Linked DNA regions of Lepisosteus oculatus. The protein of the gene in region 1 interacts with the protein of each later gene in a pairwise test. Links are inferred from orthologs where the notes say so. Each region holds a gene or a part of one and is shown in the gene's direction. Other genes may lie near its edges.

What was found. The genes of interacting proteins can lie anywhere in the genome.
Region 2: the proteins of lmo2 (region 1) and tal2 interact in a two-hybrid assay, tested with the Homo sapiens proteins (2 studies listed by BioGRID and IntAct). The link is inferred for Lepisosteus oculatus from reciprocal best matches to the Homo sapiens genes LMO2 and TAL2.
Region 3: the proteins of lmo2 (region 1) and signal transducer and activator of transcription 1-alpha/beta interact in a two-hybrid assay, tested with the Homo sapiens proteins (2 studies listed by BioGRID and IntAct). The two-hybrid records come from large-scale screens. The link is inferred for Lepisosteus oculatus from reciprocal best matches to the Homo sapiens genes LMO2 and STAT1.
Region 4: the proteins of lmo2 (region 1) and hnrnpm interact in binary tests that used the Homo sapiens proteins (3 or more experiments, as listed by UniProt). The link is inferred for Lepisosteus oculatus from reciprocal best matches to the Homo sapiens genes LMO2 and HNRNPM.

Annotation. Positions count from the first base shown.
Region 1 is NC_090716.1:11,136,387-11,144,038, forward strand, and holds the start of lmo2 (rhombotin-2), read left to right. Parts: upstream 1-4,583; 5' UTR 4,584-4,728; exon of another isoform or gene 4,729-5,040; 5' UTR 5,041-5,243; coding exon 5,244-5,284; intron 5,285-7,581; coding exon 7,582-7,652. UniProt on the Homo sapiens protein: Acts with TAL1/SCL to regulate red blood cell development. Also acts with LDB1 to maintain erythroid precursors in an immature state.
Region 2 is NC_090698.1:64,085,954-64,093,356, reverse strand, and holds the start of tal2 (T-cell acute lymphocytic leukemia protein 2), read left to right. Parts: upstream 1-4,382; 5' UTR 4,383-4,648; intron 4,649-7,403.
Region 3 is NC_090707.1:26,783,755-26,791,521, reverse strand, and holds the start of signal transducer and activator of transcription 1-alpha/beta, read left to right. Parts: upstream 1-4,746; 5' UTR 4,747-4,795; coding exon 4,796-4,836; intron 4,837-6,571; exon of another isoform or gene 6,572-6,748; intron 6,749-7,767. UniProt on the Homo sapiens protein: Signal transducer and transcription activator that mediates cellular responses to interferons (IFNs), cytokine KITLG/SCF and other cytokines and other growth factors.
Region 4 is NC_090724.1:6,497,963-6,505,035, reverse strand, and holds the start of hnrnpm (heterogeneous nuclear ribonucleoprotein M), read left to right. Parts: upstream 1-4,052; 5' UTR 4,053-4,271; coding exon 4,272-4,309; intron 4,310-5,091; coding exon 5,092-5,261; intron 5,262-7,073. Other genes in the region: ras-related protein Rab-11B-like, read right to left, coding at 77-272, 2,489-2,528. UniProt on the Homo sapiens protein: Pre-mRNA binding protein in vivo, binds avidly to poly(G) and poly(U) RNA homopolymers in vitro. Involved in splicing.

The DNA of each region.
Region 1 (7,652 bases):
CCCCCAGTCAAACTTGTGATGAAGAGCCTTGAGGTTTTGCGGTGTTTTGCCCACCAGTGGCCAGCCTGTCCTATCAGGTTGGGCCATCTGGACAGAGTCGTCCTATCAGAGCTCAGCAGGATGGCGATGCGCAACAGGCAGGAAGTCGGAACAGCAAACAGCAGTGCCCCCTGCTAGTTCGGTCTTCGCTCACTTCCTGTTTATCCTGGTTCATCCAGTCAATTCCCTGGAAAGTGGATAGAAATAATGTCCTGGATCTGTCCTCTGCAGCTGAGCATTTCAGCGTCTCCCTGCTTCTTAATCCTTTCCCACATCTAGGTTAAACTCCAAGTAGCTAGAAGCGGGAAGGCTAAGGAATAACATATATATATATAATCTCATAGTTTCAAAATCCTGTTATAGAACTGATTCAACAATTAGAAAAAAATGTTGGGGTGGGTCCAGTTGTATGTCTGACATGGGCAGGGACTGGAACATTGTTGATATGTACCTGACTCTTACAGTTTGTTTTGAATAATTTTAATGTAACACAACCACAGCTTTTAGTATTTCTGTGGCAATAGAAGAACTAGTAGGGATATTGATATCATGTTCAGAATCCTCTTTACGTATGTCAGTAGGCCACTGTCTCTTTTTGCCTATTAACTGAAGGTGTTACCCTAAAAGGAACATTAATTCCTAGTTCAGAAATACCGAACAACTGAAAAGCATCGCTGACTCGGGTGTTGTAGACGAAATCTGAAATCAAGTCAATATACTTGCTCTCAGTGCCAAAAGAAAGGGGAAGGAAGGACAACAAGTGTTGAATCATTTACTTTGAGTCAGGTACTGTAGTTCTGTTTCCAGGGTGATACAGACAAGCTGTGTCAGCAACAACCGTTGTGGACAGATTTGTTTGGTCAATTCTGCAATAGGCCTTTCGGCTCTCCATTACCATGCAATCTCAGCTGTGTCTTCTAACGGAATTGCTCAATCTGTTTTTAATTCACCCATATTTTTATTCATTTTCTGTTTACATATTATGCATCAGGTCAATTATCGGGATAATTGTAAGGGGGGAAAGCTTGTGGAATATAATTATACAATGATACCTGTTACAGACATATACACAGATTTGTCCTGCTGGAATTGTACACGTTGTTTAAAGTTTGGCTCCAGCATGGAACCGACATGGTAATTGAGATTGTTCGGAAATCATAACTAAAGGCATCTGTAGGTAATAGTAAACTCTTTCATTCCTGTACTGACAGGGTTTATAACTGGTCAATCACAAAAATGGTCAAGAAAATCTCCTTTGTGTTGAAAACGGACACTTCCGTTACTCACTTACTCAAAATTACTCAAAAGTCTTGTTGGCAAGTAACACACAATGCACACGGAAACAACTATAAAAGGGTAGGAACTGCTCGATTAAAAATCTTTTAAAATTGTTAACAAGTCACAGGTGTTCAATGAGTGAGAGCATATACAATAGGTTAAGGCATTTTGAAACAATAGCATTTGCTCTCTAAGTTGAAGTAATTAATGAAGAATATTGTTTTCTCACTCATTTATTATTACTGCCATTTTTATACAGACTCTGTAGAGACTGACAAACACCAGGTCTCCATTTGGGCTAAAACTTGGACACAGAATTGGCATTATTCACATGTACTGAGCCTAAGAAGAAATGTATTACATAACAATGCAAAGAATGAGGGAAATGACAGTGGTCTTTTTTGTGGCAGGTGCTTTGACAGTTTCATTCATTATTCTGATCAACATTTGTCATCTGCAGGGTTGATCACAACTGATCACCAGGGGGTTTGCTGTGGAAGTCACAGGCTAGTAGTGTGTGTGGCCAAGTCTGGAAGCTGTAGGTCTGCCATGCATTCTTTACACCAGGTTGTAGATATTGTTTTGTGGGTTTCTGACCTATTCTCCTCATGGAGCTTGCTCAAGCATGTGTCTGTTTGCTGGCTTCTGAGTCCTAGATACTGCATATCATACCAGCTGGGAAGTCTGGGAAGTCTGGCATTATTGTAACATTCTCGTCACACAACAAAGCTATTGATTACACAAGCAGCATGAGGCCGTGCACGATCCTGCTGGAATGTTATCACTTCAAGATGAGCTTGCAGGAAGAGCAGCAAGAGAAGTCTGGGCAGCTTAGAAATGGCTGAAACCCAGAAGGCAAGTGGCAGTGCTCAGCTTCAGCCCATATGCCAACTTACCAACGGCACAAAGGCATTGTTCTTTTCAATACTGGTTCCTTTCTGTCTTCTTATTTCTTAACTTACTTCATGTCCTTCATGTCCAATAGGTTAGGTTGTCTTATCAGCTCCCTCAACCCCGAGGTTATTATCTAACAGTCATCTGAGTCCGTCACAAGTGATCAGCTAATCACGATGACACCAAAAACATATAAAATATACCCCAAATCTGTACCTCATTTTTATTTAAAAAAACACATGCATCGAGTAATATTTTTCTTTTATAGTTTAGTATTTATAGTCAATCATGTTCATCATATTTTTCGATAATAAAATAAATAGAAACATATACAAGCAAATAAGTTTGAGCAAATACTGTACGCAGACAAACTGTTGTTGATATTACCACCACGCAGACCAGTTCCATAAGCAGAGATTTGTAACTTGCTTTTGTGAGGGACTGATAAAGGAACTCCTGTAAATAATAACTACACTAAATCTCTAGCTCACTGTGACAGATGGAGGAAATGAAATCTCCCTAGCAGAAGAAAAAGGGCAAGTGACCAAAAGTGACACTGACATCCTCCTCTCATTCACTCAGATGTAAATCATAGTAGCACCAGTCTGTGCAAAATGAATTTGAGTGATTGGCACCAGGTCATGTTTTTATGTGCTAGTTAGCCAAATAAAAAAAACCAGCAGTGTAACTCCAAGTGATGTCTTTCCAGCATCCAAATCTTTTAGGGAGCCCTGGTCCCTGCTCAGTATATCTCCTTCACAGAGCTCTGGGAGTTACAGTATCTCAGAGCCCAGTGTCTCTGCAGGCCCCTGGCCTCCTTAGAATCAGGCAGCAGAGCAGCCCTGGCAGCAGATAAGAGGAACGCTTTTAACAGCTGCAGCAGGGTGGGGTTCAGAATAACAAGTGCAGAGGGGGTTAACCCATTGTTCGTGTGCATTCTCCTGAGGGGAGAGTTCAAGCACACGCAGAGCCTCGTCTGCCTGCTTTAGCTAAATTTAGTTGACCATCTGGCCACCCTGTTTGTCCCATGGGTGAGTCTACCCTCAGAGAGCTGACGTTGAAATGCCTAGTTGGATGGATGGGGCCAGGAGAAACAGTGTTTTGTTGTGCAAAACGCTCTCTACAGTATTTTAAATACGGCCTCAACATCCTTTCTGTTAACTAGGGTATTAAACCTTAAAAAATGTTAAATTCACTTGTGCAACCTCCCCTTTACTATCAGAGCTATTACTAAATACTCATGAGGGAATTCTCGCAACGTAAAGGCAGTGAAAACATAGAAAAATATTGTTCCCAATATGTCTTTTCTTTTAAAACTATTAGACAACATAAAAGTTGTGGCCTAATAGTTGTTGAACTCTTCCTGAATCATGACTGGGGTGCAGCTGAGAAGTGATTTTTCTTTTTTTTTTAAATACGCCTTATTGCCTCCATAAGGGGAGAAGCATTTTAAACAATAATTGAATTGAACACCTGATGAAAATACGGGATTCAGATGCAGCCTCGTGTAAAACTGCAATTGCACACAGATTTTTAAGCCACCTCAAACAGCAAAAACACTAGTCCTTGTATTGCAGAATATCACCTTATTAGCTCTGAATATTGGCTCTGAAAGAGCTTAATTTCAGCACCCTCCTTCTGTGCTGTTCCCCATTTGAAAGCCCCCACGGTTATTTTGCAATTCTTTACTTTTAATGGGTTTAATTGCTGCCTTCGTCTACTCAGAACTCAGCGAGTCCCTTCTATGAACTTAACTACTTCTGCTCAGGAAGCACCCAGCAGGTGAACTTCGTTACATCTGAGAATGTACAGATTTTGTTAGAAAGGTTTACTTTTCATTTTCAAGAAGAATAAGGCAATGGAACAAGTGATTTTAAGATTACGAGCATCGCCTTTCCATTTCAATACAAGCCAACCATCCAGTGATAATCGGCTTCTTCAGTGAGAATCTCTGTATCTAGGTATCAGGGGAAAGGAGAATGAAAAATATTTTGTCCCACACTCTCTGACACACACAGACATATATGTGGTTTTTTTTTGTACATTGTGAAATAGACAATTAAAGAGTTTGCAGGTCTTGAGAGACAGAAAAATGTTATAATAAGTAGATGCTTATTATGTAGATGAAATAAGTGCTCGCGAGGAGGGGGTATCACCGTTTAGTGATGCGGTGCCTTTCACGACTTTACCCTCTTGGTAAAATGTCATTTTACGCCCCTTTAAGCCAAACCGTCTAGCTAAAAACAAGCTCTTTCCGCAGTGAAATAAAAAACCCTCACGACTCCGCAGACTCTCAACTGGGCAGCCCCGGGCTGTTTGCATTACGCTTTTTCACATCCCCAAATGAGCTGCCCCTGTCTCTTTAAAACACGTTTCCTTCGATTGTGAAGGAGTCGTGAGCAGGAAAGAGGAAACGAAACCAGAAACCAAGGGGCAGAGCTATGTAAAAATACCTACGGTACAGAGAGCTGCCGTACAAAAGCCGTCCCCGCGACTAACCGCAGATTAAGGGAGACGGTAAGGGATGACAGAGGGAATAAGAAATATTTTTAAGCAGCCATTGATATTCACTGCTATCTTCACTGTTAATGCTGAAGAATACTTGAGCCGTAAGCACAAGGACAACAGTATAGCAAATGGGATGTTATGATCTCCAGGAAATAATAATAATAATAATTACTAATATCGAAAATTGTAAATTATGTTTAAGGATCCCGTCTGCGGTCTTACATGTATGTTTTAATATATAAATTGTAGGAAGGAACTGTACAGCTCAAGTAAACGCGATTTCCACGGTCTTTGCCTTTGGTGCTGTTTTTTTTTTTTTAGAAAATAGAATAAGATGAACAGGTGCAGTTCTTGCCGAAAAATCATATTGTCATAAGAAATATGCGAGAGGAGTCGGAAGTGGGGATATAAAGCATACGTGCCGCCGGATTAAGGAGCAGGAGCCTCTATAAAAGCCGAAGTTCCCGACGCAGTAGTAAAAGGTGTTTGATGCCATCGTCATTGCCCGCAAGGAACATCTTGGAATGTCATCTGCTATTGAAAGGAAAAGCTTGGAGGCGTCAGAGTAAGTGCAATGGTGATGCCTTTGAAACTAATGACTTGCAGTGTTTCTTTTCACGCATGTGCACTTTTTGTTTTTAAGGAAAGAATTTACCCCAAAACAACATCCAAACTATCTGTCACTTTCATACCTGTGACCACCAGGGTTTTAGAGCTTTTTTTTCCCATTAATCCGAAATAATTTAAGACTGAACTTTATATATCTAACAAAGACAGAGGCCATGTTGAGTAAAATCTCTTGTGATCTTAAACATGCAACTCTAGATCTAAAAAGTAATTAGAATTTAGAAGCAATGTCACTTAAGATTAGTTTCACTTGTGGGATTGAGTCAGAGGCAAATAAAGCTTGATGTTTAAGTCTTCTTGGCAGTAATGAAATGACTGTGGCGATAGTTTCTTTTACAGTAGGCCTTGCATTCTGTGAACTGTTTGCTTTCGTAAGCCGAGTTTCAGAACCAGGCGCCAGATGTAATTAAACTATCACATTTTCAACAGGTATATGAATTGTAAATAGCCTTTTAAGAAAGGGGCAATGCAAAACAGCATAATGACGTAGATTAAAATGCACTGACAATTAGTTTGTGTAAAGAAATTACAAGAGCAGTGTTTCGATAATGTATACTAGGTGGTTTAAAAAAAAGACTATTGAGGTTTTCTGTTCTATTTGAGATGTAGATTTTCACTAGCTCTCTTATCACTACTGCGATCCCAGTGTCAGAAGACATTAATGTAATAATCACTACTAGCACTAGCTCATTCTTTAGTTAAGTACTCAGAATAGGATAATGCATATTAAGTGACAATACTCATTCAATCCTTACTAACAAAAGATGTGTAGAACCCATGCCCTTTGAGTTGATAGACAGCAATCTGTAAGTGTGCAAATTCAGGTAGTAAAGTTTGGGTTACTCCACATTTTTATGCATTAATTGTATTTTGTTTTGACTATATGATAACTTTTGATAAGTTTCTTTTAATAGATTCTAGGTAACACACCAATACAGAGATGTGCTGTACTGGGGAAATCTAAACCATGGAAGGCCAAATATATACCTCAGATAAAAAAGAATGTTACTTTTGCACTTTTATTGTATATCGTATACACAATACATTAGGTATATATTAAGTAAATAACTGTAGCTATTCTTTCTATTATTTAAACAAAGAAATGTCATAACCTAATAAATATACAGTACATCCTTGCTGCTTTTAAACAGATGATGCAGGAGCAAAATATATTTTAAGAAAAATGTGTGTGAAATGAGGGTCAATTGTATTCCCCACTCACCTCTTATTTTTACACAAAACCTTGTTTTTCCTTCTCCCTGTGCCCTGTGACAGATATATGGGCATACACTGCGCATATAGTGTTTTTTTATTTCGTGGGAAGCTGCTCCCTCTGTTGGGGAATGATGGTAATGCATAATCTACAGCAAATGTCACCAGAAAGGTCACCAGTGAGAGAGATGTGAGGAAATTATACTATTATAGAGTGCCTAGTAAAAATCAGTGTGAATATGATGAACACATGCTAGCTCCACAAAGGCAGGCAAGGTATTGAAGTCAGGATCATGGCTGCATCATCTGATTGGATCTGTAAAGTTCACAACAATGCCTGTATGCCATCATCTAACCTCAAATCGGCCTGCTTGCCAGACCTCTGGGTGACGACATTTTTTGACATGAAGAAAACTTCACAACATTTCAACATTCTGATACTCATAATGTTTAAAAATGCTTAGTTTCTAAAAGTCACTTCTTCAAGCGCAGTCAAAATTGTTTCAGTGTATATGTAGACTGTATATGTAGTTGCTAGCAGCCAAATCCTAGCAGCCAGCCTAGCGTACCTGATTTTCAGATTTCTGTTTCCAGGATTATTTTACAAAGAGTACTGATTACATGTACAAATTAAAGATTATTTTTTGAAACTATAGCACAATTACAATACCCCTTACACCCGTACTCATTTCAATAGTAGTGTGTTTTAGCGGCTGTGCAGATTCTTTGTCTGAAGATCCACCTTTTTGTCATTATATTTGCACATTTCTTTTGGCTTCTCAGCTAGCTTCCTCTGTTTGACAGCTAATTGAAAAAAAGTGTCCAAACTGGGAAGCAAACACAACCAAAACCTCCAGACGGGGGCACAAGAAACCACCTAGATGAATTGTTACCCAGGTGGTTTCTAAAAGGTTTTTCACCGCAGTGCAGTTGCTGTGTCTGTTTGCCCCCTGTTCTTGGCGATGTGTGTGGCAATCGGTTGCTGGCTCTCTTGCTCACGAACGGACCCTGCTCCCTCCTCAGAGAGCCAGTGGATGAGGTCCTGCAGATGCCCCCCTCCCTCCTGACGTGCGGGGGGTGCCAGCAGAGCATCG
Region 2 (7,403 bases), on another chromosome or scaffold:
TCAAGGAAACTAAATAAGTTTTCCAAACAACGAAACATTGCCCACATAAATACACAGCAATTGCTTTCCAAAGCGCTGAGATGGAGTTCCGGTAGTTTCTTTTGGATTAGGGGCAGTGTGATGTATGCAATAAAAAAAATCAATTAATTTAAATACCCGCAAAATACTAAAACTGAATCAATTGTCAATGTTTATTTGTGAACATGTATATGCATACATATATTTTAAATCCCCCTGAAATGGTGTATTAATTCAACATTTTATAATACAAATGTCTTTTTTTGACAGTGGGTGTTGCATTGTGGCTGAACTGATAAGGCTTCTCCGTACATGCTTAAAAGGTAATCTTTCATTAACAGAACACTCCCGCTATCGAGCTCTTGCAGAGCGTCGGAAACGCTTATCTTCACAAGCCAGCATGCTGGAGTGAGCTCTCGCAGGAATAAGGCGAAACAAAGCGAGCCCACAGGCGCCGATTCCTGGCAGAATCCGGACTCAGAACCGTAAATAACTCCCAACTTTCATTTCTGATCACTGCGTAACACCACATGACTCAGTGCTATAGAAAAAGCCGGGATAAAATAGCCACCTTCTGTTGGAAGGAAACAAAACAAAAAAGGCATTGAAACACGGTCTAGTCAAACTCCACATTTCAACACAGTGTAAACACGGGCTTAATGGGTCCATGATTACCCCTGCTCAGACATCATTTTTTAGGTGTGTAAAAAAAGAGATTTACTGTGAGAACGGACAGTTGTACAAATCTAGCCTGTAGGTCCTTTTTTACACAACAAAGGTCAGAGCCGTTTATACCTCTTAACGTCTGACTTTACCCAGGACGGTTGATTGAATAGAATTATTCATAGGCTGCATGAGAATAAGATTTTGTTTGTTCTTGATTTTGGAAAAATGTTGATGAAACGGACCAAATTTGTTTTGTTCAACACTTGAAAGCTCTGCAAGAGGACTTTTTTCATGAATTTGTCTGGCAGATGCTTTTTTCCCAGGAATGACTCACCAATTTACACAGCTGGATATTTTTTCCGAAGCATTTTTTGTGAAGTACTTTGCTGAAGAGAACAGCCGTGTCTCAGCGGGTTTTTTAAACAGGTCTGGAGCCCCTTCAACTAGGCCCATGTAGGAAATAACAGTGTAAAATTAAACACCCACAAGGCTCTCTTGAAACCACGCCACAGTTAAAAAAAAACCTAGTTCATTTAAAAGAGGCACAAAACAAAATCTTTGTTCCGTATTTGAAATAATGCCTTTGCAGTAAACAACATGTAATATCATGCTCAGTTTATGTTTTTCAGCTTCAGCGGGGCAGCAGAAGTTGTGGGAAATCCTAAAAACAGAAGAAAGACGTTTAAAATGTGATGCTAAGGCTTAGTGAATCACTGCACAGGCTATCCGGAGCGTGTGTGCCTCCCCAGTCGAGGAATATTCTTGGGATGAGGTGTGAGGGAAGCGATCGGACTGCAGGGAGTGGGAGTGTGTGTGTGTGTTGTGGGAGGTGGGGGGGTTAGAGCACCCCGATGTGAGATCAGGCCTTTTCAGAAACCGATGACCCGTTGGATAAGACTAACTGGCCTGACTTTCATTTTCCATCATCTTGAGCGTAACTCCGATGGATCAATTAAATGCACTGGAGGCATTGTGTGGTGGGCTGCCGAGTATTCAGGCCCGAGAGGAGAGGTGACTACCAGTGCAGGTGCAGCCTCTTGGAAGTGTAGCAGGCGCAGTGAATAGCTGGAATTCAGATCAGGCCCAGTGTGGCCGTTTTTCAGGGACTCAAAATAATCCCCCCAAATCGGATTATGTAAATCACTACTCAACACAGAGGGGGATTCTATGGAAGGCTGCGTCTTTGAAAAAACACTTGAAGGGTGAAAAAAAGTAACAACTGCCTAAACTAGACATTGTTTTTTTTTCCTCCTGCAGGGCCGGGTACAGAGCACAGCGGCAGACAGCGCAGCGAAGGGCGATAATATCCTGGGGTCCTAGTGCTAATATTATGAAGAGGTGGCTTACATGCCAGCTTGTGACCCCCAACATCATATAACTTTCCCCGTTCTCTAATTTATGTGAGCCCCTCAAAAGGCTAAACAGGATTATCCCACAGAGAACAATACCTGCATTGTTCACACGTCGATCCAGGTTTGGTATTTTTACCTTTTGTGGCTGATCACTCGGTCACGTTGAAATTATTTTGGACACTTCCCCCTGTTAACTTGGCGACAACTTAGGTGGGAAGAGACACCGGCAATATGTCCAAGAAATAGAAAGAGCAATGTTTGAGTCCGAAAAAAAAAAAAAGTGACATTCAAATCCAGAGTTAATCACTCGACGCTCAATGGAAACCTCTTTGGAGAAAGGTTTAGATGACCTGTTATTATGGTCATCTGGATTAGTAACAATTTAAAAACTTTGAAAGAATGAATGAATCCATACAGAAGGGTAGATGTTATAAAAGAGGACATTCATGCTATAGAAATCGGTGACAGAAGAGCAAGTCTAATCCAACTACTAACAGAAATACATTTTTAGAGCAATTTGGACTGAGTGAAGGAACTATTACTAGATAGGTTCCCCTGAACAAATGCTGAACTGACTACTTAATCATTTAACTGGAGAGACTGTTAATAGCATTTTACAGTTTGATTTTAAGGTAAGAAGATATGGGATGAATACAAGCCGGTTATTAAGGGCTGTACTATATTTTCTTTATATTATTTTTTGCAATTTGTCAAAAGTTAACAATTTCATTAGTGCTGTGCTTTGTACCAAAGAGAATTTAACCCATTCTATCCTATATATCATGGTCATTATTTCCTTGGATTTGTTATTGAACAGAAAATAAATAACAGAATTTGTTATTTCAGAACTGACTATCAACAGCTGGCGAGTTATGCCTCTTTCTGTCTCTACGGTTTGGGGAGACAGCTACATCTGCATCTTGAAATTGCAGGAAGTTCTTATGTCCCCCAATTGAACATGATTGTTTCAGCAAATCAGACAAGATTTTTGTTTTTAAAAAGGATTACATCAAACAGAAAACAATTCAGAAGAGGTTTACATTATTCAAAGAAAGCCTTTCCTTTGCTACAATCCATATAAATGGTTTTAGGAAAAAATGTAAGTGCATGAACAGATCAACTGCTTACTAGCTGAAATTAGAAAAATAATATAATATGGTAAATCAGCGTGCTGATTATGGTAATTCATGTTTCCATCTTACTTGTGAGGCTAAGCAAAACTATCATTTTACCATTTATTTCTATATGTTCTTTTTCATTTAGTATCTTGAAATGAATATCATGTGTAGCATATTCAATTCATCAGTGCAATTAGATATCTATCTTTTGTGAAAAGTGTCCATGATTTTCAATTACAGTGCTCCTGAGCCACAATTTACATTAAATCTACAGAAATTATATTCTAAATGATTTGCCTACTACATTCCCTTATGAGTTCAGATGATTAGTTTATAAAATAGTTGGGACTCTTGTTTGGCTGTTAACCAGAATAGAGTCAGGAAAGTCACTGCATTTATCAAATTTGAGAGACCTACCAGGACTGATGGTGAAGAAGTAAGTACTGCTCCAAGATGAGTCTTGTATTCTTGAAAAAGATTAAATGAAGGAAAAACTTTATAGCAAAAAAAAGCACAATTAATATCAGACTCACAAATTCTGCAATACTGATTGAAAATTCATGTTATTTTTCACGTACTGCATCTCTGATTCATATTAAGGAAACTAAAAGTACTATATGTATATAAAATTATATAATAAAATGTTGTACTGTATAAGTTTAGTAAATTAATTGTATGCAATATAATAGTTTTATAGCACACATTTTATAATGAATAATATTGCATTACCAGTGCTTATGGAAATATCATTTTCTGTGATTTCATCAAGGTCTTAGTGAGCTCTTTCAGTTTGCAGCACTCTCTGGCAAAAGCAGATTTCCAAATCAGATCATTTGGGGATTTCATCACTTCCTTGTAGATTATATCACAGATCAGTTAAAAATATTGAGGCATCACCGCCTTGATGTTTTCTTTGGGGATGTCCAAAAGCTCCAAATGAAAGCACGAATCTGGCTTTTATTTCCTACGTTTGTTTTTTTCTCAGATTTCGAGTATTCCATTCCCATTACTGACAGCTGCTATTGTTCGCTCCATGTTCCCGCTTTAAGTGGTATTTTAGGGATAATCGTGAGGAATCGTGCCGGTGAGTAAGTCCGGAACTGGAAAATAGCAGAGAAAGAAGCAGCAGGTGAAACAGTTACAGTGGAGAGCTGTAAAGTAATCACAGATATGTCAAAGGGATGTAAAGGCCACCTCGAAGGAAATGCAAGGTCTTGATTAATAATTATTATGCTGCACAGGACAACCAGGTGATGGCATATACTGAACAATGGGACGGACTTGCTATAAATTATCAGGGACAAACCCCAACGCCCCCCCACAGACACACACACCCGCCTACAGTTAGCGTCTCAGAGCGCTTGAGTGCGATCAGAGAGCAAGAGGATCTGTGTCTAATAGGAGCTGCAGAGCTGCTGAGTGCACACTGCCTAATGACTCAAGGAATTACCCTGTGCAAAGAAAGAAGTTCTGCTCATCCTCCAGCACTTGCAGGTGAGAGATTGGTGTTTTTCTGGCATCTAGTAAAGTATGTGTATTGTGTACTGAGGTGTCTGGTTTTGCTGGGGTTTTTTTTTTGTATTTGATAGGCAAAATAAATACATTCTAAAAGGGAATTATGTGATTTAGATATATGCAGTTGTGTGCTCATTGAATTTTTAAACATGTTTAAGTTGATCTAATTAACGTCACATTAGTAAATGTGGCTAAAATCAATTTTATAAATGACATGGTGGTTATCACAGGGTTGTTCAGGTTCGACACTATTGCAGAAGATACGTATAGGTGGTAAAGACATTGCCCTGTTAACTGCAATCATTATTAAATTACAACTTTATGTTTGAGCAAAGAGATATTATTCTTCATTAACTATTAGTAGTTAGATAGCTTTTTTTAATAATGGTCTTAATGTTCAAAGCTTTGGCAAGACAAGTTCATGTAGTGCATACCATTAAAGCATTATTATATCTAGATAATTCTAATAAATATTGTAGTAATTCTAGTAAATATTTAATCAGTTTAATTTTAGTATATGAATCTTATTTTGTCATATGAATTTTCCAGTCAAAATAGGATTCTTTGTAGATTTCCCTAAACATTGTAGGCAAAAAAAGATTGTCTCTTCTACTGCAATACTGGAATGCACACTTCTTATATGAAGTTATTTTTTAATAGGTAAGATTTTCCTTCCAATGTTCTTTTCGTTGTTGCTTAATTTCTTTGTATTGACTCTCCAGATCTATATCTGTTGCATTCACATTTCACTTCTAGAGACCTGCAGAATGCATGCAGACCTGAGATGTTAAACTGAGGACATAGTGACTCAGTCATTTAAAAGCCATTGCACAGTAAATAAGAATAGGAATATAAAACCTAGCACCCTGGTCAGCAGAGACCTTTGGTGGGCAGTGGCTCAAAAGGGGCACTTTCCAGGGCAGTATTTGTTCCATTAGAGTATCCTGGACCCGAATCAGTTTCTGTGTTTTTTCATTTTACAGGAAGTAAAATTGTGACTTCAGAGGCATTGTAATATTCACAACGTTGGCAAAAAAAATGGTTGTCCATAATTGCTGATTATGTTTTATTAACAGACAAGATATTACACCCTCTCTACTGAGCATATACTTTATTTTCCTGATATAACACATCTTAACAAGAGGACAAAGCAAATAAAAATATGACCATCTAATTACATGCAACACCAAATGCAATCTCTTTCTATCTTAAGAGGAAGAACTCACATGAGCGCACATCAAATCAAAGATTTTTTTTCCCCAAAAAGTGTCTATTGCGGGATAAATATTCAGGAAGCCGCTAGAAATTATATCCAAAAATGATCATGAAATTATTACTCATATACCCTGTATATTGTTTGTAAATAGGGTACTGGCAGCTTTGATATTCATCAAAACTTAAGTCGTACAACATTTACCGATGTAATTATTCTTGTGAGGCAAGACTCCTCTGTTATTGAGGCGTACGTAGAATGTACCCTAAGGAACTGGCCTTTTTGATAACCATTTACCTGTTCGTCTGCCGCTAGTTGGGACCCAGTTATGAAGCGATGTACTCCCTTTAGCTGCCTCCCAAAATTCTTTTTTTTCTTCGTCTTTTTTCTGAAGGCATGCTCTCCTGTTTCTGTGACTGAACCACATATATACTGTACAACAAGGAATATGCATGTTAGCTGTTTATATCAAATACCAAAAGATTGGCTTGTCTACTAAGTTAACGAAATGTTCTTAAGGAATTCTCAGTCTAGCTAAATAGCCATGCAGACAATAACGTGGCGAGTTCGTCGTTTTGCAAACTTAGAATAGGTGAATATACAGTAGTATTTCCTAAACACAAAGTGCTCAATACGACACCCTTGGTGTGTTACTTTTGTACAGTCCTTCTGAAAAATCTGTGTATCTTCTCACCGTTCAAAAATGTTTAACATGAACCACACAGGTGCAGTAGCCTACGTTGCTTTTCGCTGCTTTTTTACAACGAACAGGAGGCAGGCGCTTGTGCTCGGATGAGATCAATTGGGTGCAACATTTCTTTTCCCCTATCGGGAGATCCGTACTAAATACAGAAGCAGAATCGTCAAGAGGCGAAAAAAAAAATTAAATTGGTTGGACTTTTTTTCCTACAAGCAAAAAAAATAGCACTTGGGCCAATGAGGGCAAAGGGGAATCTGTCCTGCCTAAGTTGTTCTCTCAATTTAATTAGTGAAGCAATTTCTCACTTCTCCAGCTGATACCCTGTGCGGTGGTAATGCATAATGGCTGCTGCACAGAGGTTTTCTCATAAGAAAGGTTATAAACAAGAAGAGAACATTGGGCACATCTAGCCACTTGGGTAGTTAGTAAGCGCATTGATCTCATCTAGCCATTTCTTGAAAATAGCTAGGACTTCACAATATAGCTGGGCAGCTTGTTCCAGACTCTCACAAACCCTTCTAAACTGTCCTGTATTTGGGAAGCTTTTGGATTGTTATTGTTAGTATCGTGATGATGACAAAGCTTTTTTGAAAGTCTCCTGAAATCCTGTGTCTGTGTAGTTCATCTCTTACTTGGAAAGTAAAAACATTGGAGAAAATAACGTTTCGGAATAAATATTTTGCTGCTTCTCCTTCCTGCTTGTCAGCGTGGAATTAAATTATGCTTGTTCCTTTGCAACTCACTTCCTGATATATGTTACTCAGTGCTGGTTTCGATTGCATGTCCTAGTTTCATTACTAAATGAACGTGTTTTTTCCGTG
Region 3 (7,767 bases), on another chromosome or scaffold:
AGGTAGGTCAGCAGGTCTTGGTTAATCCTTTCCGCCTGACCATTGGCTTCGGGGTGGTAACCAGAAGTGAGGGAGGAGGATGCCCCTAAAACCTGGAAGAAAGCCTTCCAAAACTCTAGATATGAACTGCGGACCCCTGTCTGAAACAATATCCTTCGGAATGCCATGGAAGTGGAAAACATGCTGGACAAAAAGGTCTGCCATCTCTCTTGCTGATGGGAGGGCTGGAAGAGGAACAACATGTACAGCTTAGGAGAAACAGTCGATGACCACCATGATCGTCGTTTTACCGTGGCTTTTCGGGAGATCTGTCAGGAATGTGTAAACCAGGACGTACTTCTGAACGATGTCCCTAAAAATGTCATTCATAAAGCCCTGGAATACTATAGGAGCATTAGCCAGGCCAAAGGGCATGACCGGATATTCATAATGACTAAGTGTAGTAATGAAGGCTGTCTTCCACTCATCACCATCACGGATGCGGATGAGGTTGTAGGCGCCCCGAAGGTCAAGTTTGGTGAAGACAGAGGCTCCCTGAAGAGATTCCAATGCAGAGTTAATGAGGGGAAGGAGATACCGGTTCTTGATAGTAATCTCATTCAGGCTCCTGTAATCGATACAGGGCTGCAGGGATCCATCCTTCTTCTCCACGAAAAAAAAACCTGCACAGGCCGGAGAAGTAAAAGGGCGAATGATGGATGTAAAACTCCAGGGCATCAGAGTCTTTCAGAGAAAGTGGGTAGGTTCTTCCTCTTGGAGGCAGGGTTCCAGGTAGTAAGTCAATGGCGCAATCAGAGAGACGGTATGGTGGCAAGGAGAGTGCTTTTTGCTTGCTGAAGGCAAGGTGCAGGTCGCTGTCACGGACGTCCAAAGGGACTAACCGTGGGGAGCAGGAGAGCGGAAAAAGACTCATATGCGTAGCGGCGAGACGGGAAAAAGGCCCAAGCTCATAAGTGCAAAGAGTTCAGGAATGCCGTATAGAAACCTATGCCCTCAGGGAGCGGACGTGGGGCGCCCTGGTGCTAGGCGGGTCTCAGGACATCCGAACGTCAATGCTGAGCGAGGACAGAGTGCAAGACCCGGAAATATATAGCCCAAGGGAAAGAGAGGGACAGGAAGACAGCAGACTGGAAACTAGGGACAGGACAGAGAAGGAGCGCCCTCTGGCTGCAGAGGGCGTGACAGTCGCAATATGCAGAAGAAATCCCGATGGATTCATCCTAGGTCATGTGGACAGAGGAAAGTCTGAGAGGCAACTGCAGGCAACGAGGATGACATTTGGGTCCCCAGGCCAGTAGTTCGCTGTTGGACTGGGAAAAGATGGGGTTGTGCATCTTCAACCAAGGGTATCCAAGAACCAGAGGATGGGAAGGAGAGTGGAGGAGGAGGAATTGGAATGCTCTCGGTGTGGAGGGCGCCAATGCGTAGTGTAAGGGGAATTTTTTCCCATTCAACAAGAGTGAGAGGGGATCCATCAAAGGTGAGGAGGCAGATAGGGGGCGAAACGGGGATGCAAGGAATATTAAAAGTGGTGGGAGTCCGGAGTCTAGGAAGTTTTCCTCTGTGCCTGAATCAACAAAAGCCAGAAGAGATTCTTTGAATCCATCCCTGGAAACCAGTGTGGGCAAAAAAAGGCCAGAAGAGGGAAGGATACCGACCTTGTCAGAGGGCAGGGAAGTACAGGGAGGGCAGACAGGGCATGAAGCTCGGAGATGGCCGGCTGCCACGCAATAAGGGCAACATCCCTCGGAGAGTCGTGGTGTCACTCCTCAGAAGACAGACTAGAGAAGGAGGTTGGGCGGGAGGGGGCAGAAGGGGTTTGAAGCCGGGAGCGTTGTTCTTGGAGCCTGATATTAATTTCGGCCAGATGGTAGATAAGATGCTCCAAGGAGGGAAAGTCCAGTGGAAGATATGCGAGGTGGTCCTGAAAAGCGGAAGACAAGCCCTGGCAGAACTGGTGGATAAGAGCCTCTTCATTCCAGGGCATTTGGGAGGCCAAAAGGTGGAATTCCATAGCATAATCTTGAAAAGTCCGGGAACCCTGGGTGAGAGAGACGAGACAGGAGATGGCTATATGGTGGGAGTGGAGATGACCAAAAATGGACTGCATGGCAGCAGAAAACTGGTTGGCATCAGCAGTCACGGGAAGATTCAGAGTGAGGAGGGAAGTAGCCTAGTCCAGGGCTCGACCGGAGAGGTGAGAGACCATGAAGGCAATCTCTCTGTCAGAGGGAAAATAATCCGGGCGAAGGTGGAAGGCCATCCAGCACTGGGTTAAACTCTGGAGTTTAGCTGGGTCCCCCTCAAATTTCTCCGGGATGGGAGGGGGCAAGAGGCAAGCAGCAGCAGCCAGGGGAGGAGCAGGTACGGGAGCCACCGGAGGAGGTGGGGGACAGGTGGTGTGGTCCACTAGGCATTGAACTGCAGCAGTCAGTTGTCCTAGAGCCTGGGACTGCTGTTGGAAAAAAAAGCAGCAGTGCTGTTATGGTCCGCTGGATCCATGAATAGGCTCAGTATTCTGTCAGAATGGGGCTGATCTGGTCAATGGATCCTGTGCAGAACTCCGGAGACTGAGAAAAACACTAAGCTGAATCGCTAGGCAAAAAAACTAAAACGAGGAAGCAGGAGAGGAGGTCAGAACGCGAAGTCAAAGAGGCAGCAATGATCCAAAACACAAGGCGAAGTCAAATCCAGGAATCAGGTGAGTAGGTCGGAAAACAGAAGTACAACGAGAAAGCAACAATCCAAAACACTAGGCGAAATCGAACACGAGAAGCAAGCAAGGAGATCAGGAACCGGAGAAAAGCTAGAGGAAAACGCGCACTAGGGACCTCAAGGAGAATCTGCAATAGTGAGCGGGGAAATGAGGAAAAAGGAGAACTAAAATAGGGACGGGAGAGAACGGTGATTGGTGTGTTACTTGCGGCGTGAGCGTTTGTTACAGGGTGTACGCGTGGGAATGCGGGAAGGAACAGAGACGCGAGTGGAATGCGTAACACCATTATCTGCTGGATAGAAACTTGCAGCTGATTAAATGCATGAGAATGCTGAGAAAGCACCATACCTCACCTTCTGCAGGGTCCATGTTAAGACTCAGTATACCATTACAGTGCAGAAGAAGGGCCCTAAGCAGAATCCTCTGAACTCAAAAGTACCAGCAAGAGTAAAAAAAACATAGGTCAGGAAGTCAGGCCAGGATCAAAAACCAGTAAATCCACAATAACTAAGTCAAGATCCAGATGACAAAGTCAAGGATCAGAGCCAAAAACCTAGAAATGTTGTGAAGCAGGGGACAATACAACTCTAGCTAGGTAAAACCCAATGTTAAGCAAGGAGTGGTGTGTCAGGTTGTCAAGTAGAAAGGTGGAAGAAGGTGTCTGATTAGTTACTTGGAAACTGCAATGTGAAGGAGATGATTAAGGGCGGTGAGTTCTCCGGGGGCGTGACGTAACATTGTGATTCCAATTACAATAGTAGAAGAGGGGAGAGGAGAGAGATGGAATAGAGGTGCTGTTGGTCCTCGGAGAAGCCAGCTAACTGCATCCATGGCAAAAAGAGGGAAAAACTGGCTTGGCACAGCACCAGCCCTAAATACAATACTAAACAGCCCATTCTTGGATTAAATCACTTTTAAGAACTGGGATATCTGAATATAGAATATAGTGTCTGAATCAGGCAAATTTGCATTGTTTGCATATCAGGCTGTAATGCAGATACCGTATTAGTTTTCATTAGGAGACAGTTATAGTTTTAATATTAATCCAAAAGATTGCATCAGCTTTCTGAAACTATCTTTTGGGGTCACCAGACTGGAAAAACAGAAATGCATCCTCATCCTGTTTACACTTCTCTAGTTATATCAGTATGATTACTGTGACATAAAACCAACTACAAAACTAAGTTAAGACACAAAGAAACATTTTAAAACGTTGTATTGTTCATTTGGGAACAAGTAAAGGTTAGTTCATGCTGAAAAAAGAAGAAAAAGTACTGGTTCCTTTCCGACCTACACATGCTGACGCAGTTACCTACTTGAACAATTGTTCATTTATTTCAATTAAATTCGTTATATATCATATAAAATAAAGGGTTTGAATAGAATTCCGGGTCGTGCCATTGCTTTTCCTTGTTCTGTACAACAATCAAAATCCATTATTGTTGAGCCACAACTACACAAGTAGCCTACTTCTATCCACATATAGAACAGATAATTATTGTTTTCATAAACTCAGGTCTGCTTTCATAAGATCTTTACAGCAGCATTACGGCTGGTTACTACTATCAAACATTTAAAAGTCAACACGTATTACGATAACAAAAAATCGATTTAATATCCGTAAAGGAATGCTGTGAATTAAACAATTAAACATTATAACAATGGGGGAAAAAAAACAATTACATATTTTAATTTTTACAAAACGCTCCTCGTTCTGCTTCACCACAGAGCTTAAAAGTCTTAAAAGCTTAAAGTCTTAAAAATCCTGGAGGGAGAAAATAAGCTGCAGCTGCAAAAGCAGCCGCTTGGTAAAGTTGAGACTAACAATCAGAAAGAGATAAAAAAAAACCGTTTGGCTCCAATTAAAGTTTCGTTTCTCTGTTTCCTTTCAATGCAGTGATCTCCCAGATCCTTTCGGTTTCTCGGAAACCTCGTGATACAGCTCTTATGCCAGTCGGCCTTCCTCCCTGAAACAGCTAGCGGAATAAAGCTATCCTTCTCCAGAAGGCGTTTCTAGCTAATACAGCTGTAGCATAGGGTTAAGGGTGTGGTCGGCGTACCGCAGCTAAAGGAAGAAAGATGAACGGCCTCATTTTTTCAAGCAAGGATGTTGGTAACAGGTAAAGGTTACAGATGAAAGCAGGTTTGCTTCCTGCAATAATCCAATTATTTGATCAAGCCACTCCTAAGATCCGAGAGAAATGGTTGTAACACTGTAACTCAGCAGTTTGTTCTAAGATATCAGTGTTTGATAAAGGAATGTCCTGTTTTCTTTCACGGATGCTCCCCTTTAATTTTCTCGTGCGTCGCCGATTATTTGAAGATGTCAGATGCCTTTCCTAGCACAATACTTCTCATGATATTTAAGAACACTAACACATATCTATATTGTCGTCTTTCCCCCAAAACTGTGACTTGACAAATTATTGAAAAACATTTAAAAAATGTAAGCTCAGTCTCAGAATCAATGGGCACAACTAGTGGGAGTAAACATTTCGATGTATATGTTTTGCATTATCTTTTCAATTTCAATACATTCACTTTTAAAATCCCTAACTGTAGATTGATCTGCAAACGGCTACAGAAGAGATTTTCGCTGTTTTAAAAGTAAGATTAAAGTACATCTTTTAGTCCTTTGTGATAGATTCTCATTACTTGCAGAGTTTTGTGATTGTCTTGTATCACCTTCTGAATTTATACATATTTTGATTTAATTAACTACTTCAGTTAAGATGATTTTCGAATGTCAAGCTGTGTTTTCTAGAATAAAACTGTTCTTGAAACACTGTTTCTTAAACTATTTCAGCAAAACTGTAATTTCCTGGAATGAAAAAGTACTGTATGATGCATCATTTGCAAATAAGTAAAGATATTTAACAGGCAAAAGTAACTAAATGTCAGCAAAGAAACATACTGGATCCTTTTTCAGTCTGAAATTTCTTTAGTTCTGAACTAGATGTGTTTTGTACACTATAAGATAACTCTTTACAGGTTTTTGTAATCCTGAACCCAGGAGTCCACTTGGGGGCTTAATCTAAGACCTATAGTGAAACAAAATCCTGAAGGTACAAGTGGAAATTGAGGGAATGTACATTTAAGACAGTGAAAACTGGTGTCTGTTCAATATGTGTTAAAATTTTCTGGAGCAGGCTAGCCAGTTATATAATTGAAGCAAATCTTCTGTGATTCTTTGAAAAACGTCTGGACGAGATCTGCAGATCACATAGCAAGACAATACAATTAATAATAATAATAATAATAATAATAATAATAATAATAATAATAATAATAGCTAACACTTATATAGCGCTTTTCTGGATACTCCACTCAAAGCGCTTTACAGGTAATGGGGACTCCCCTCCACCACCACCAATGTGCAGCATCCACCTGGATGAAGGTGAGCAGAATGGCCTCCTCTGGTTTGTAACCTTTTTATGTACTTATGTTTATGCTTAATCTTATGGTACAATGAAATCTTTTACCAAATTCCAAATTCCAAATTATTTGATATATTTTTAATACAACAATATCATTTACAATTAGGATTTTAATTTTTGTAAATTGTCAAAGAAAAATAATTTGCTAAATTACACCGTAAGTATGCACATTTGTCTAGGTTTCTGCGTCTCACAAAATCTCATGGGAAAGTAAACTTTCTATTTCTCCTACAGGCTGGGGAAATTACGAGGGAGGGTTGACTAATGTTTAGAACAGCTCCTACTCCCTGAGCCTTTAAAAAAAAGTGGGAAAGACAATTTCCTCTTTACGTTGGTTGGCTTTCGAAGAGGAATTGGGTGTTAGTGAGCAAACTCTTATTTGTGATTGGCTGAGAGGCATGCCAATTGTTTGTTTCTGGTCAGCTGGCAAGATGACATCCAGTTAATAAGAACGTCAGAGTTAGTTTCGTTTTTCGAGGTGTTTTGAGTGAGAGAAATCATTTTTCTGAAGTCTACAAGGTTGAGACCAGTGAATGTCCTTTCTTCTGTTCGACGTTTTGTTAAGTGTTTATTTTAAACGGATCAAATATTAAAGGTTAGTAAACAGTTTGATTTAAATACGAAGTTTTATTTACAGGAAGTCGGGAGAGGCTCTGTAGCTGTAGTGATGGACCCTTTACATACAGTACGGTTGCTTTGGAAATTACTGTTGGCGTCGTCATTGCTATACTGTTTTTGATGAGGTTATATATACTGTATATATTTTTACCTTAAGTAGTTATTAACACAACTTCAGGAGTGACAATAGGAGTGTTTTATTCTATAATAATTTTTTTATATGGTATACTGTAGAGATCATACAGTACTGTACACTGGTAATTAATAAAGTTATCTAAAAACACACTCCATGATATACCATAGTTTATCACAGCACAGTCCTATTTAATTATACTAGTAGTGGTTAATATAAAGAATGATATGTTGTAATTATATCGTATTTTCTTTTATATATTTTTGTCTCAATCTTTCTGAATCTTGAAATGATATTCATAAATATTTCTGTTCTCTATTTTGATAAAAAGTTAAGTAAATGTACTTCTTGCAATTTTCGAACTGTATTAATGTATTTTGCTGATGATTTGATCAGGTCTCAAAAATGTTTATACTGCCCTTACATAAACGGCAAGGACTTCTGAAAATGAGAAGTCCCAGATTGCCCTGCAGTTATATTTGAAGTTACTGTATTTGCTAGAGCCTAAATTTCCAGTTGGCCTTTCCGCAATTGGAATTATAGAATAGACCCACCTAGGCTATAGTACTGAGATATCAGACTCATTTTATGGAAGGCCTTGTGTCACAAATTTGATATTTAATGGTGAATCCTACTAGATGGGAGCTAAGGTTTTAGACCCCTAATCTACTGTATTTGTGAAAGTGAAAACTGGCTTTATTTTATTTCAGTGCCCATCACAAGTATACCATTAAATAACATGGGCAGTCATTTGTTAAGCAACAATTTTAAAAGCATGTGTGAAGAACCTTTTATTCACAAGTTTTTACTTGTACTGTCCTAATTGCGCAAACATTTACTAGTCTAAAGTTTTAAAGTTGATT
Region 4 (7,073 bases), on another chromosome or scaffold:
CTGCTCCAGAAGTGGCTCCCGCAGGAAGCCGTGGCTGTCTGACCCCCCTCCCCCCACCCCCAGGCCCCACACTCACGCGGAGGTGATGGCCCGGTAGCGCTCCTGCCCGGCAGTGTCCCAGATCTGGGCCTTTATCGTCTTGCCGTCCACCTGGATGCTGCGGGTGGCGAACTCCACGCCGATGGTGCTCTTGCTCTCCAGGTTGAACTCGTTGCGGGTGAAGCGGGACAGCAGGTTGCTCTTGCCCACGCCGGAGTCGCCGATCAGCACCACTGCCGCCAACACAGACACGGTCAGAGGCCACCCTGGTGCACCCTGCTTCACGCAGCTCCCAGGAGCTCCCTGTCTACTGCTCGATTGGCTCGATTAGTTAAACCGATCAGCCTCCTGGAGATCAATTAAATGCTTAAAGAGTACCAGATTTGCACATGGAATGAAAGAACAAAGGTTCCCTGTGCCGGGCTGGGGGGGCGGATGTGTTACTGGATCTGTAGGACAGCACAGACAGTAGAACATTTGTGCTGGTGAGCAAATGTGTGTCTGTGAGCAAGTGGCTGTGTGTTTTAACCCCTTGAGAACAAGAATCCAAGCAAATCCCGGACCCCTAGGTTCAAAGAAAGCTTCTACCCCACAACCCTAAGACTCCACCTCTTCAAACCTCCCCCACGTACACCCCTCTGTGTTTGCGCTGAACTCAAAATACTGCCACTACTGAATTTTGCACACAGCTGCTATCTAAATGGTGGTTAAAAATGATAGCTGCTCCCCCTGTTCCTGTCTCCAGGGACTGCGATGTCACTTGTGGTGTCTCCTTCTGTGTCAACGTTATGTCATCTTTTACGTCAGGCAAGTAAGCATCTCATTGTACATGGGTACATAAACTTGAAGGTGAAATAAAGCTTAGGAGCTCCTGAGTTTAGTTTAGTCCTGTTCAGTTTGGAAATTACTGACACACGTCACACAGTGTGCTCTCAGTAACAAGTATACTGGAACCAAATGCGCTGAAGTCTGACAACGTTTTAAATGATGCTGTGCCACACGGGGCTGGCGTGTGACCTCCTGTTTGATTTCCACGGGTCAGTGTTTGCCAGTTTTAACATGTATATGAAATGAACCCCCTCCATTTCGACAGCAGGGTTTGCTCGAAGACCAGCAACGCCAGCTGTATGGTCAGGTGTCACTCTGAAACTGTGCCTCAGCGGTACTTCAGGCACATTGTGGTATTTTTCAAAATTAAAATCTGCAGGATCGCCAACCTGAAAACCCGGCTGCAGAGGAGCTGGTCTAAGCTTGAACTGCAGTTTTGCAGTAAGAATAAGAGCTCATTGTTCATTGCTCTTGACAGGAAACGGTCCCTGTTCTATCACGCTGCAGGAAGCTGATAACCTGGTCAATGGGAAATCTGAAACGACAGTATTGGGCCTCTTTCCTGTTTCCAGGGAGTTTATCAAAGAAGGAGGCGAGGGGGGGGTTTAGAGATCCCTGCAATTTCGAAAGCGCGTTTGAACCGATATGCCTGACTATAGCAACAGAATTGTGATATTTCAGACCTGCGCCTTTAACCAAACAATCGACAAACAAAAGCGGGACAGTGTGATATTCTATTAATGAATATGTGCAGAGTAGATCAAATACAAATGCTGCATTTCGAAGCATGCTAACGTCTGTATTCTTGCATTAATGTAACTGATGTCATAATTCAAGGCCACGAAAGAGGATGCCAGATATTGGAAAGTCCAAGGTTGGTATCCTGGTATCCTAGCAGGATAATACAGTACAGGCATCTGCAATGACAGCACTGCTGCCAGGTTCCTGCGATATCATCAGCCATGTCAAATAGAAAAATCCACCTTTTGTCACTTAAGTCTCTAGCAAATCTTTTATTTTCCTACTCACTTCACCGCTGTTTTTTTGCCATCACAATTCGGTTTCCTTAGAATATATTTCATTGCGGTGCAAAAAAAAAGGATTTTAAAAAACGAATGCGCCATCGTACAACATGTGGCACAGCCGATATCTGGGAAATCACCGCTACATTTAATGGCTGTTCCTCCGCAAACATAGACAATATCGCTAAACACCCAGGAACGGCTCCGTCTCAAAGCTCTTTTCAGGCCTTGATGAAAATATTACAAAATATTTACGCTTTGGTGCTCAACGCTACTGTACGTGATAAGCTGTCTCTTAAGCGAACGGGTGATTCAATACAGACACAGCTCTTTGGTGGGGCTTGCAATTACGTTATATATATATATGCGTTGCTTAAACAAATGCCGCAAACAGAGGACTTTATACACTCTTTTTTAGGGCCCAAGACCGTTCTTGGTAGGCGTCGCTAATCAATAAAAGCAGTGGCTCGCCGTTGTTTTTTTACAGGACACCCTGCAAACAATACATAGCGCACATTAGCCGCACACGGTGTGAGAGGCGGGGGGTTAGCACAAGGGGAGGGGGTGTCGGAATCGCACAGAAGAAATCAGATTTCTACCTTTGAACAAGAAATCGTACTCGTCGTCTCTGTTCCCCATGTTAAGAGACACGCGGGGCTGCTCCGACCCCCGTCGCGGCGCAGGCGTGTGGTGTGGCGGTGTGGGCTCCGCAGCGATGCCGGGTGCGAGTGGAGCCGAACTCGGGCAGGAGACAATGCGCTGGCTGGCTGGCTGGCTGTCACAGAGCCGACCGCAGGAAGAAGGGATTTGCCTGACTCTGCAGAAGGGGAGGAGTTCCTCCTCTCCCATCCCATCCCGTACTGTACACGATGGTGCCCCCTCACTTTCCGTAGGAGATACGGGAGACATAAAATCGAGCGGGCTGTGGGGCCGTGGGATATACTGTCTATCGGGGTTACCACACCGGATTTTCCCGGACGTGTCTTCATATTTGCTCCTCAAATCTCCGTCCCTTAGGAATTATGGGAGGACGGGGTGGCCTTTTTTCGTGCCTATACAAATACATAGATATAATAACCGTATATATGTAAAATAATCAAATAACCATAAATATAATAGATACAGATGTTATCGGCGCCACCGACCCCACCTCTCCTCCTAATTCCCCGTCGGGCGGAGTGTCCTCTTTTTTATTTTAGAAATAATGGTAACCCCTAACCTTAGTGTATATCTGTATAGGGAGTGTCGGGAGAGTCTCTGACGCTAGCAACGCCTGGAGCGACGAGTGCAAAATGTGTGTTTTAGATTATAGAATAACACGTGCAGTTTGCACCAAGGAAAAATACTGTCTTCATTTTAGCTCAGTAAATTGTATTTCCATAGTTTCCCTAACCGTCAGTACCGAACCTTTCTTCCTGCGTCAAAGCTACTTCGTGTTTGAAAAGCACGCTTTCACGGCTGGAAAGTTTTAAGGCAAATTGAAGCTCTTGTGCTTTATTGTTGGCACGAAAGGGGCAAAGAGGTGGTGCTTCGTGCTTGTTTGTAGGCTGGGTTCTGTAACACACGTGCTGATATTTGTCTACGGTCCTAATGTAGCAGTTCAACCGCAAGAGAGTTATTGAGATAAAATTGCATTTCATGGCTGTGAGACGTACCACTCCACGACAGATAGAGCCATGTATGTTGCACACAACCTTTACACCATCTCTAGTTCAATAAACCTTTATTGCACGATCAATAAATCTTTATTCCACTTGCTAAAAATGTATCGAAAGTAGGCCATAATACACCTTTTTAATTATTTAGCATAGGTAGGGGTTACCGAAACATGAAATGAAAAAGAAAAACTGATGGTTTCAGTTCTAGAAGATGAGAAATTGAGACATGGGGTCAGGCGCGGTTGTTTTGAGGCAAGCGAAGAGGCAAAGTTGTCGTTGTTATGGTAACAGTCCTTTAGGTTTTGTTTTGACGAAACCACTGCAGATTATTATTATTTTTTCCATTCTTTCGCCACAACGAGGTTTTATTTATTTTAGAGGCGGCTGGTTTGCGATTTCATTTCTGTTTTAAAAAAAAATAGATATTTAACGGAAGAAAAAAATTGAACAATAAAAACACAAAGGCTTTCCCGGCATGCTCCGCGTTGCTACATAGACTGGCTTCGCCCGCCGCCATTTCAGTAGTGGAGGAGATCGAGTGTGGTGTGTGCTAATGGTTAAGCAGGGGGCAACTGTAAAATAAAACTACGAATCCGGGTTTTATTAGCTCAACATCGAAAGGCATCGTATTTAAAAAACAGCTTGTATTTGCCCTTTTCTTCTCCGGGTGCAGTTTTCCCATTTGTTTTCCGAAAAGCAACGTGTAAAACTTGACTGCGCCAAAATGTCGACTGAAACGCCAACTGAAAAGCCAGCCCAGGCGTAAGTACTTTCTTGTTGTTTTTTTGTTTTTGTTGTTCTTCTTAGCCGGTGGTGATTTTTATGTATCTCGGACTAGCCCTGTGTAATGTGAGGAGAGGGATTGATCTTCAGTCGTGATTGAAAGTGATGCGCGTTGCGTTATAATCTTAAGCCACGTTAAAGCCCTGTCACGCAGTTAGCCGGAAGGTTGCTGTTCGCGTTGTGCCGATCGGTGGAAATGTATCCGGCGAGTTTTTTTCCCTCCTAAAAGCCGCGAAGACAGCGTTATGAAACTGCAGTGAAAATAGCTTTTCTCCCCCTGTAAATTTTAGCCTTTTTTTCGCGAGAAGCAGAGAAAACGAGGCCGGCGGGGGGGGGGTATCTGTATTGGTGGCTGCAGAGTGCAGCTAGGCCGCAACGTGGGCGATTATCTGCTTTCAAACTCCGCCGCTGTTTTTTTTAACTGGGCCCAAGACGAATGGGTGTCGTAAATATTTAACAAGCCGGCGTTTTTTTCCAGTGTGATTCAGAAGTAGCCCGCATCTGCGTTTGCTTTGGACTCCACTTGAATTGAGCGCCATTTTGGGGGGTCAGGGGCTTTATGTTCACCCCGAGTAATATCGCCCTTGTCGGCCCATTGCCCTTAGCAACAGACACGAGGAGGCAAAGGGAGGGGGGTGTCTGCCCTAGAGACATTGTCCCCCACCAATCGTCCCTTCGTTGTCGGTTCTCCACGCGAGTTTGGTTTGCTGCCACCCGAGCGACTGTTTCCAACCCCAGTTCTCCCTCTCGACTCCCCGCAGCGAGATCAACGGGAAGCCCACCCACGAGAGCCGGAAGGAGAGGCCGCAGAAGCGGGGCGGCGGCAGTCGCTTTGAGCCCTATGGGAGTTCCAAGCGATACCGGGTGTTCGTCAGCAACATCCCCTTTGATGTGAAGTGGCAGGCGCTGAAGGACCTCATGAAGGAGAAAGGTAATTTTTATTGAACCGGTAAGGAGCACGGGGGTGGATAGTCTTTTTTTTACACCCACCCCCCCCAAAGAAAGCCGTGCTTGAAGAGCTATCGCTGGACGGCATGCTACGGGTGTTGTGGTCACATCTCCTGCACTCCCCCTTCTCCCCCACTCAAAAGAAAGTTTAACATAAGGCTCCACACCGCGGCCGTCTTTGTGAAGGTGGTACCACAGCCACGTAACTTCCTGGAGTCCGGCGTTTCTCGTTTCGGTTTTGTAATGGACTGTTGTTGGGCACCCATTGTTTTAGGAGGGTGATGTTTGAAAACGTATCCTTCCCCCACCTGGAACATTAAGGATCATTCCTGTGTGTGTTGGGCGTCTTGTTTTACTAGACGTGCTTTGTTATGCGCATGTAGTAGGATCTTTGTGGACATTCCTGGATCGACTGATTTGCACAGGGAGTTTTGCAAGTGGTGATTTTGCATATGCTGGTTATTCTTCGAAACCTAAGCATGCAGCATCAAACTTTTAAATCAAATGTAAAATCTGATGCCTCAAAAGAACTTACTTTCTGGTGCTTTGCAAAAGCTGCAAAAGGTTAGCGGCCAAGAGCCTGATGCACACATTGTTCAAAGCTTTGGACTGCTCTAAAAGCTTTACCAGCAGTGATTTGTTGTGCTCCCAACCTGATTTGGTTAAGATCTTGAACTTGGTTCAAGGAAAACGCTGGTTTGTTGTTGAAGACTGCTTTGATATTGCTATGAGTTGGAACCATCTTGTTTCAACAAGTTGAAGGCAGTTGAGAATTCCATTTAAGAGACGTCCTTGGTTTTCTCGCATGGAAATGGAGTGTTTCGGAGATGAGATGTTAGCTTTCAACTTTCTGTAGTTGGAAAGCAAATTGTGAGGCCTAAATTCTATATTGAAATTCACTGTTTACCTTAAGTTTTATAGCAGGTATTCCATAATGGGAAATCACACTTAAGTGTGCGTCGACTATCGGCAGGGGTCAGCATCACAGTCTGCTCTCTTGAAGGTGCAGGCTTTTTGTCGATCGACTGGGTTATTGGAAGTCAGGTTGGCGATTTTGATGTTTTACAAATTTTCAAAAGCTACGCTGAATCTTTAGTGAGCCTTTAGATCACTCTTATGATTCAGTTGTTTAAGTTGGTGGTTTTCTATTAATTGGCTTTCATCAAGAAAATGACCAAGTGAATGTGGTTAGGAAATACATTTGGCCTTCTATAAAAGGCTTTTTGGAACCCGGGCAACCTCTGATGTGGATCTCTTGAAAATGTCATTTGTATTTAAGGTTGTCAAAGTTTTGTGATTGCCCAAATTCTTTAAGCAACCTTTGTAAAATCAGCTTGGGTTCTCTTGGATTAGATCCTTTATCCAAGCCATAATAGAGGAGGAGGTCCACTGTGGTTTTTTTTTCTTGTCCATTTTCTGTGATGCAGATGTTGAAATCTCATTGCCATGCTGTTGGGACAAATCTGTGCAGCACAAAGATCCTACCAAAGGCGTAAAACTGTAATCATTCTGTGTAGTATTAAATTGCGTTTTCTTTTTTTAGGTTTACCACAGTGTGTGGTTACTGGCTGATGTCGCAGAGCAGAGATGTTCTTCAGATGTCACGTTGTACATGTCCAGACGCATGTTAGGGATTTGTTGGGGGTACAGGTCTACAAAGTAAAGCTGCTTCTTAAACTTATCCTTGTTTCAGCCTTGGATGGTTCAGGTCTGGCTAACGCTTGTTTGTTAATTTGATGGGCTCTTTGTGGTTGGGCCGCTGTAGGGAACTGTAGGAATGTTGTCCAAGCATAAA